Linked DNA regions of Bombyx mori. The protein of the gene in region 1 interacts with the protein of each later gene in a pairwise test. Links are inferred from orthologs where the notes say so. Each region holds a gene or a part of one and is shown in the gene's direction. Other genes may lie near its edges.

What was found.
Region 2: the proteins of ATP-dependent RNA helicase me31b (region 1) and mRNA cap-binding protein eIF4E interact in binary tests that used the Drosophila melanogaster proteins (3 or more experiments, as listed by UniProt). The link is inferred for Bombyx mori from reciprocal best matches to the Drosophila melanogaster genes me31B and eIF4E1.

What each region holds. Positions count from the first base shown.
Region 1 is NC_085118.1:10,825,331-10,829,388, forward strand, and holds the start of ATP-dependent RNA helicase me31b, read left to right. Parts: upstream 1-1,258; 5' UTR 1,259-1,419; exon of another isoform or gene 1,420-1,614; intron 1,615-1,816; 5' UTR 1,817-1,974; coding exon 1,975-2,039; intron 2,040-2,132; coding exon 2,133-2,214; intron 2,215-3,030; coding exon 3,031-3,237; intron 3,238-3,409; coding exon 3,410-3,581; intron 3,582-3,659; coding exon 3,660-3,810; intron 3,811-3,949; coding exon 3,950-4,058. UniProt on the Drosophila melanogaster protein: ATP-dependent RNA helicase which is a core component of a variety of ribonucleoprotein complexes (RNPs) that play critical roles in translational repression and mRNA decapping during embryogenesis, oogenesis, neurogenesis and neurotransmission.
Region 2 is NC_085128.1:2,391,492-2,396,290, forward strand, and holds the start of mRNA cap-binding protein eIF4E, read left to right. Parts: upstream 1-1,780; 5' UTR 1,781-2,187; coding exon 2,188-2,217; intron 2,218-2,509; coding exon 2,510-2,688; intron 2,689-3,337; coding exon 3,338-3,515; intron 3,516-4,001; coding exon 4,002-4,089; intron 4,090-4,799. Other genes in the region: spermine synthase, read right to left, coding at 28-136, 542-823. UniProt on the Drosophila melanogaster protein: Recognizes and binds the 7-methylguanosine (m7G)-containing mRNA cap during an early step in the initiation of protein synthesis and facilitates ribosome binding by inducing the unwinding of the mRNAs secondary structures.

The sequences.
Region 1 (4,058 bases):
AAAAATGATAATATGAAGTGAAATAAAATGAAGTTAATTAATTAATATGAAACATGAAATGAAATGAAATGAAATGAGATGAGATGAGATGATATGGGATGAAATATACATCTCAGTAAAATGGTGGCCATTTACTGAAACTATTTCAGTGGACTTTTTGGAGGATCCCGAGAAGTTATGTCCATAGGCTTTGTTTTATTTTCCTACATTTGTGCACTTTCACAAATACTAAGCAGTTAGTAAACCACCGTTATTACGCATTTAAGCCCGAAGAAACACTAAATAGGCAAAATAAAGCAAATCCCGCAAGTTCACTCAAAGGCGGAAACAGTGCTTTTTGTGTTTGAGAGTAAAATGTTTGGGTGGGTTTACTACCGGTGGGTTTTACTAGTGGTAGGTAGTTCTTGTGAGTCTACACGGGTAGGTATCACTACCTTGCTTATTTCTGTCGTGAAAAAGCTATGCGTTTCGGTTTGAAAGGTGGAGCAGTCATACTGTAATAAATGAGACCTTAGGACTCATATCTTGAGGTAGGTGGTTATATGTACGTTGACTATGTCTATGGGCTCCGGTAATCACTTAACACAAGGTGGGCCGTGAGTTCGTCCTCCCACCAAAGTAAAAAAAATGTAATCATTCTAGAATGAAATGAAATGGAGTAAAATGAGGTATGATTGAAAAATAGCGTGGCTATTGTGTAAAATGAAAAATAACCTCTCAGTGAAATGGCAGGAATTTATTGAGAGTTCAATGGACTTTTTAAAGTGAAAGACTGTTTACACTTTTACAAATGTTGAATTGTAATATGTCATTATTAAACGCTTAAACACGACGAAGCACTAAATTATTAAACCTCGAGATTCTAGTCTTGAGTTTACCTTCCATGTCAAAAGGCATAACTTTTCGTGCCAGAAATAAGTTGGGTAGTACTTAGGACACCTGTGAGCTTATAATACGCCATACCACCAGTGAATTGAAAACTGTTTTATTTAGTCAATTTATAATTTTGCTGTTGTACTAGTGGAATAAAAACATAATAATGCCTGAGAAAGTGCATCAGCATTGAAATAGCTGGTTATGTTAAAAAAATTAATTAGATTTTTTACGAATTCCTATAATTTGATGATTATACTGAAGACATAATTTCTAATTTCATCGCACTTTTCCATTTAAAGCTTAGAAACACTCTAAAGAAAGTCTTGTGTAGGTAACGTTCTTTTTACTAGGTGGACACAATAGATAGACCAGAAAAATGTTTATGGTTTTAAATATTTTCAAGAAATCAAGGGAGCCAACATAGGCAACAAGCAACATACAGAAATAGAAAATAAAAGTGTATTATTGTCTTTGGTTGAGTAAACTCTTGTGATGTCGTCGTTGAGTATCGAGTGTCGTCACCTTTTTTAAATTTTTATCTAGGTAATTAACAACAATATTTTATAACAGTATTAATCTCAAAGTTGGAAGTGTTTTAGTTTATTAATTTTTAGGTCTTTTCCTCACAAACAAAGTAAAATTAAACGAAGCGATGGCGGCCATATTAAAAAAACATAACTGAGTTCAGTTTACAATCTTTTGTTATCTTTTCAATCTCTCCTTTTCATTTAACTTTTGGTAAACATTAATTTATTATAATACTTCTATATACTGAGCTCATTATTAGTTCTAATAACTTATCGAGTAATCACTTCATAACGGGATTTATTTACTTTGTCATATAGCTTGTTGACGCGTCTCGTAATCTTCGTTTTCAAAAGACCGAAACGGGTTTTCTAATATACTTATCTAATATAAAAATATGTTCCTCTTGTTTCAGCTATTCTGAAATACTTGGTGAACGTGATAAACTGACTAATATACGTGTCTAAAAGTGATTTAGAGAATTTATTTAGTGTTGGACTTGGACAAATAATAATTAGTGTGATTATAAGTTTCTAATTTTAGTCGTCCCTAGCTAGGGATAAATTTGGCAAAATGATGACCGAAAATAGAATTAGTTCAAGTAATCACGTCGGAAATAGTATCAGTCAAACTAAAGGGTAAGTATAAATTTAATAAAATGTCCTTTGTCATGCTAACTGCATGTAGAATCACACGAAGCAATATTCTAATCATGTAAACGCATTTTTCAGAGAGGTCGACAAAAGCATCGACGACGTTGGTTGGAAATCAAAATTAAAAATACCCCCAAAAGACAGAAGAATAAAGACTAGTGTAAGTTGGCTTAGTTACTAGAAATTACGGCCCACATACAATAGTCATTGGAATTTAGACAGTCAAAATATAACAATTTAAAAACAACTTTAGAACATTTTGTGGTATTCTACAATTGCATTATTGTTATACACGAATAATCCAGTTATACACTGAAAATTTAAATTTCCAACAAGCTTGCTTGTTTGCTTTTAAACAACAAACAAAAATAAAATTTATGGGGAAGTATAGTTCTTGAATTGTTTTATTCTGTTAAAGTAAAAGAAAAAGTATTTGGTTGATTTAATTATAAGTGATTTTTGTCTTTACAATCTCCAATCTAATACATTGTTGACAAACAGAATTCAATTCTGTTTAAATAGCTCCAATGCTACATTAATTACTACTTTAAACATTTTGTATTTATTTAGGATTTTTTTTATCATAACATGTCTATAATGCAGTTGTAATAAAATTAATCCTATTGTAAAAGAATTTTGTGTCTTTAAGCTACACTATTAATGAATTAGGTGAGTTCTATTGTCTGCCTTAATAGTAATTAATATCAAAGAGTACCTCAGTTCTTGATGCCCACATAGTAATGATGGTATTCCTTATTGATTTTTCAAAACACTTAGCAGCATATATAGTTAGCTTTATTTAATTATGCAATCTCATAAATCCAATGGTATATTCTGATTATTGGAAATATAAAATATTGATTTTTCATTTTTTAGATCATATTTGTGATTGATCATTCTTATAGATCATCATCATACATCATTTTAAGAATATATTTAGATTATAGTGGACATAATAATCAAATTTCGTTTCTAGGATGTCACAGATACTAGAGGCAATGAGTTTGAAGAGTTTTGTTTGAAGCGAGAATTGTTGATGGGTATTTTTGAAAAGGGATGGGAGAAGCCATCTCCTATTCAAGAGGCCTCAATTCCTATTGCCCTAAGTGGAAAAGATGTACTTGCAAGAGCTAAGAATGGAACTGGTAAAACTGGTGCTTATTGTATTCCAGTTTTGGAACAGGTAATTTGTTATATGTAACAATAGTTTTCATTTTTATGTTTTTAATGTATGATGAAATATTTGGATTCCCCTTCACTTTTTATAAGTGAGACAAAACAGAACTGATTAAAAAAAACTATGTTTTAAAACAAGACTGTGTAATTATTGAAATTACAAGAGTGAATTGTTTTAGGTTGATCCTAAAAAGGATACTATACAAGCTTTAATTGTTGTACCAACTAGAGAGTTGGCACTCCAAACATCACAGATTTGTATTGAACTGGCAAAACACACAGACATTCGTGTAATGGTTACTACAGGAGGCACAAACCTTCGAGATGATATAATGCGTATTTATCAAAATGGTAAATATAGATACACAAATTGAAATGGAAATAATTTCAAAATAGAAAATATTCATGGAATATACACTTTATTTCTAGTACAAGTGATTATTGCCACACCTGGGCGTATGATTGATCTCATGGATAAGCAGGTGGCCAAAATGGATCAATGCCGGATGTTAGTTCTTGATGAAGCAGACAAACTTCTTTCACAAGACTTTAAGGGCATGCTGGATATGGTTATTTCAAGGTTAGCGTTTGTTAGTTTCATGTGTAACAAATTCAGTGACCAAGAAATGCTAAATAGTGCTTCTCAAAATAAATGTCATGTGCCATCTCATAATTTCAAATACAGTGTGTGAATTAAAAACATTATTGATGGATTTTAGATTACCTAAGGAACGCCAAATCTTGCTGTTTTCTGCAACTTTCCCTCTGAGTGTAAAACAATTTATGGAAAAGCATTTGAAAGAACCTTATGAAATAAATCTCATGGAA
Region 2 (4,799 bases), on another chromosome or scaffold:
AATAGAAAATTAGTGCCATTTACATACCTGAACTAGGATAATATCTACCAAACAAACATCTCTTTAGTGGAATATATGTTTGTGACTTTATACTAGAAATATATTTTTTAATTTTGCTTTCAAGTTCTTTGGCAGTCTGTGAACAAAATTGCAGATTATATTTTTATTGTTTTCAGGATTCTTTGAATGAGTTAATTGCAAATAAGTTGCCCGGTAGAGGTATAACTTCCATTAAATTAATAACTGTCCTCTACATTAAAATAAGCAAGATAGTATTACAACGACTTTGAAGGCTTGCAAATTTTTATGCAATTAAGGTAGTCCATAAAAAAATTGGTCCTTCAGTTAATGCTTAATTTTTTTTAAATTAAAATCTTAGTATTTTTAACAATGCATAGAAAAGATCATATGATAAAATGGTTAAACTATTTTTAGTACTTCTTATTTTTTCTACCGAGTTTCGCAAAGACTTTACAATAATAATATAATGTGCCAAAATAAAATAATAGCACTCAATACATTCAATCGATATAATCCTCACCTTGTGATCGATCACGGACTCCTCATTTCCGCCCTTGTAAAATTCAATATTTAAAGTAATGAAACCTCGGTCAAACATCCTAACGGATACAGTCGTTCCTTTATTACCGGTTAATAATTTCAATGAACCATCTTCCAATTTTATGTCGGTGGCTAGGATCAAATTTGGTATATATTCTTTTAATAGAGTTTCCAATTGTCCAAAGATATCTTTTTGGCCGTTTTCATCTTCCAGACGGGCCGCTTCAATCGAGAAATCCAATAAGATATTGTGAACTGACATTTTACAGTGATGTATTAAATTTTGTTTTGTTACTGTATAATCTAATTATTAACCGTCGATTAAGCCGGCAAACCAGACGACGCACACGGAGTTTTGAAACCGATCAATAATGTGAATTGCATAGATTATACACTTTGGTGAATTGTGAATTACAAATTACAATTTTATTATGAATTTATTTCCGGTCTGTGCTCGCATAGGGTTGTGCATGCCTTTTTGGCGGGAACTCGAGAAGTGAAGTTGTGTGATTTGTTTTATTTTGTCTATTTAGTGTTTCTTCAGGTGTAAATGTGTAATAACGGTGATTTATTAACTGTTTAGTATCTGAGAAAGTGCACAAATGTGGGAAAATGAAACAAAGCCGCTGAACGTAGCTTCTCGGGATCCTCCAAAAAGTCCACTGAAAAAGTCTCAGTAAATGATCACCATTTTACTGAGGTTATATTTCATCTCATTTCGTTTCATTTTCATTTCATTTCATTTGACTCCATATTATCATTTTTCATAAACATAAGAAAATAAATTAAAATAAGACTTAATGGTCTTAGTTACCAGGTCATAAAATCCCTTTAAAAAAAGAGGTTGTGCATAGATAAGGATATCATACGATGATTTCTATTAGCTAGTTCTAAATAGAGGTCAGCAGCGAAACAACTTTTCACAGCTATGCTTTGGTATATTGCTGGTAAGACAGGTGGCTACTCTGCTCAAAAGTTTTCGAATGGCAATCGCACGCTGTAAGGCGCATTGTGGGTAGGCCTTTCACAACGGTTCGAAGGACCGACCTGGTGAAGGTCACGAGATCTGCTCGACTGGTCACTGTAGCCAACTTCGGAAAAGGCCTGTGTTTATAAGGTGATGATGGAAATGCCGTGATTTAATATTTTCCATTTGCCCAAAACACGTCATTTCGGATCCTCGCGATCCACTATCGGTGCTTTTAGGCACCCCCCAGTACTGGTGACCATTCTCGTCACTCCTCTCGAATGCGACGAAGGGTTCGGCGAGCAAATTAACCCTGAGTTAATCAGCCCACTGAGTTTCTCGCCGAATCTTCTCAGTGGGTCGTGTTTCCGATCTGGTGGTAGATACTGCGAAGCACTGTTCTTAATAGGGCTAGTGTTAGCAAATTCACCAGGCTTAGCCCCGTGAACTCGCCTACTCGCTTCGTGAAGCTGGTATAATCCCATGAGATCACCAACATAGGTAGACAAAAAAATGACACCCTTAAATAAATCTAGACCATGATTAGCGCACATCCACTTTATAAAATAATAAATAATTTACGCGATTTCTGATTTGGCAACCCCGTTGACTCTGTCGCTCCTTTTCGTAGGAAATTTGCATCGTTATCCTCTCAAGATATGGCTGGAAATACTACAGAAGAAGTAGAGGTGGGTAGATGTAATTATTAAGAAAACAAAGTAATTTTCTACCTCGTTTTGCCGGTTATACAATCGTAAAACCTATAATTTTGCCGCAATTTGCTGATGTGGCTTCGTTAACTTTCACTGTTACATTTGTTAGCATAATTGTCTAGTTTTCAAGTATAAATTATAACTTTACCTCGCTCGAGTGGTTTTCTGTGTAAAAATATTCCGGATTAAGTCGTTAAACGACTTCTACGAAAATAACAATATTTTTTTTAGGTTAGGTTCACTAATAAAAATGACCTGTGTTTTTAAGGGGTCTACTACCACTGAAACGAAGACCAACAGTAACGCGGAGGTGCCCCCTGAATTTTTGATCAAGCACCCGTTACAAAACCAGTGGAGTCTCTGGTTTTACGACAATGACCGAAACAAAACATGGGAGGAGAATCTTATTGAGTTGACTACATTCGACACAGTTGAAGACTTTTGGAGGTAAAGGAAAATGCCGGTTACAGAAGTAAATTATAAATTTCATACATTTTAGAAGTACATTCATGCAACTTCTATACATTTGCAACCTAGATGAGAAAGTAAATTCTGATGGAACCTGAACTTAAACAGAATTAATTTTGCTCAAGATTAAACTAGAACACTTTCTTATAGAGCTAATTATTACGTATCTATTATAATTAATGTGATTAGTTGTCGATTTAATCATCTGTTCTTTTATTTACTTGTTATATTTTCTATAATAATAATGTATCTAACATGTAGAATGGAGTGATGGATGCCATAGGTCCATGACATATTTCCCTTTCGCGCACCAATACATCAAGTATGTTCAAAAAATCATTGAGGGGTTTTTGCACAAAAAACTTTTAAGAAATACATCAAAAATAATGAGTGACTTATGGAACCAGTGACTACTCATTGCTTACTGATAGATGTCAAATGGCAGATACAATGTGTCTGTCGTAGCCCCCTGTGCTAAACATGGTTTCTATTTTTGTCAACATGTATTCATTCATTAATTCTATAGATTCATTCCATTATAATAAGAAAATGCCAAAAATTACTCTGAGTAGTCAATTTAGTAATTAGTAGGTTTTTATTTAAGCAAAACTGTTATTGCACATTACAGATTGTACCATCATATTAAGCTACCGTCAGAACTTCGCCAAGGTCATGACTATGCAGTATTCAAGCAAGGCATTCGTCCTATGTGGGAAGACGATGCTAACAAGATGGGAGGAAGATGGCTTATCAGTCTTGAGAAAAAACAACGCTTTACTGATTTAGATAGGTTCTGGTTAGATGTGGTATGTTAAACTTTTTTATTATATACCGTTTTAGAATACTTCTTTTTTGAGTATCAAGTTTGACATAATGAAAGGAAAAGATTTTCTAAAAATATGACAAGTTTTTCTGAGCACATGTTTGTGAGTGAATATTAGCTTGATTGCACTATCCCATGTTTATAAACATTTAATAAGATGTTGTAGCTTATTTAAGATCATTGGTTTCTAAGAAACCACAAATCATGCCTCAAATAGTTAAGGCTGCCCACTCAAATCCTGTTGAATATTAGAATACAGTTACAGATAGAAACTGTATTGTAGGAAGGAGATGAAGGATCATCTCCTATCTCATTACCTACAAGCTGTATGCTTGGCTCTATGTTCTGTTGATCTTTGTTTGAAGTAATGTGGATGTGTGGAAGGATGTGACCAGTAAGCACCTACAACAAGGAACCAGAGATGTGTGTGAGATGCATTAAAATTGAAGATATTGTATTTAATTTTCAGGTTCTTCTTTTAATTGGTGAAAATTTCGAGAATTCAGATGAGATTTGTGGTGCTGTTGTTAATGTCAGACCAAAAGTAGATAAAATTGGTAAGTTTCAAAATAAAAATCTTCATTTTCTTAGTGAAATTACATAACATTCTAAGTTCTATGAATATCTAGAGGGTTTTGTTGTGTTCTTGTTAACATGAATAATAAGTAATGACATTAGCCAAGGTCATGTTGGAAAACGAGCCAAACACTAACAGAGCATCTGTTAAACAAACATAATTAGTAAATGCACAACTCACATTATAGAATTATCTAAAGTGATTTGTGAATTTAAATTGTATTATACTATGCACAAATATAAATAAATTAAACTATCTGCTGTACTGTGTTCTCTAATTATATATGCAGTAGTGCATATAATTATCTTATTATCTATGAGCACGTACAATACTGAAGTATCAAAGGAAACTGTTTATCATCACAATATGTATTAGTTTAATTTGTTTAGCTTGTAATTGATAATGATTAAAACATTATGGATCCTTATAAACCCTAAAATATCTGTAGTGCAGAGGAATAAATAAAAAAATATACAGACTGAAAGATAAAATTCATCTGAATTTGTCTCATGTCTCTTTGTTGTAGGCTTTTATACAATTACAATAATGAGAGTTTATGAGAGTCTTCGAGGTCATCTTAGTGAAAATTAGTCAAAATTAAATGTGTATTATCTTAAATGATTTATCATTTATCTTATCACATACTTATCTCCTTATGCTATATTTCATCAGAATGGGGTATGGATATTT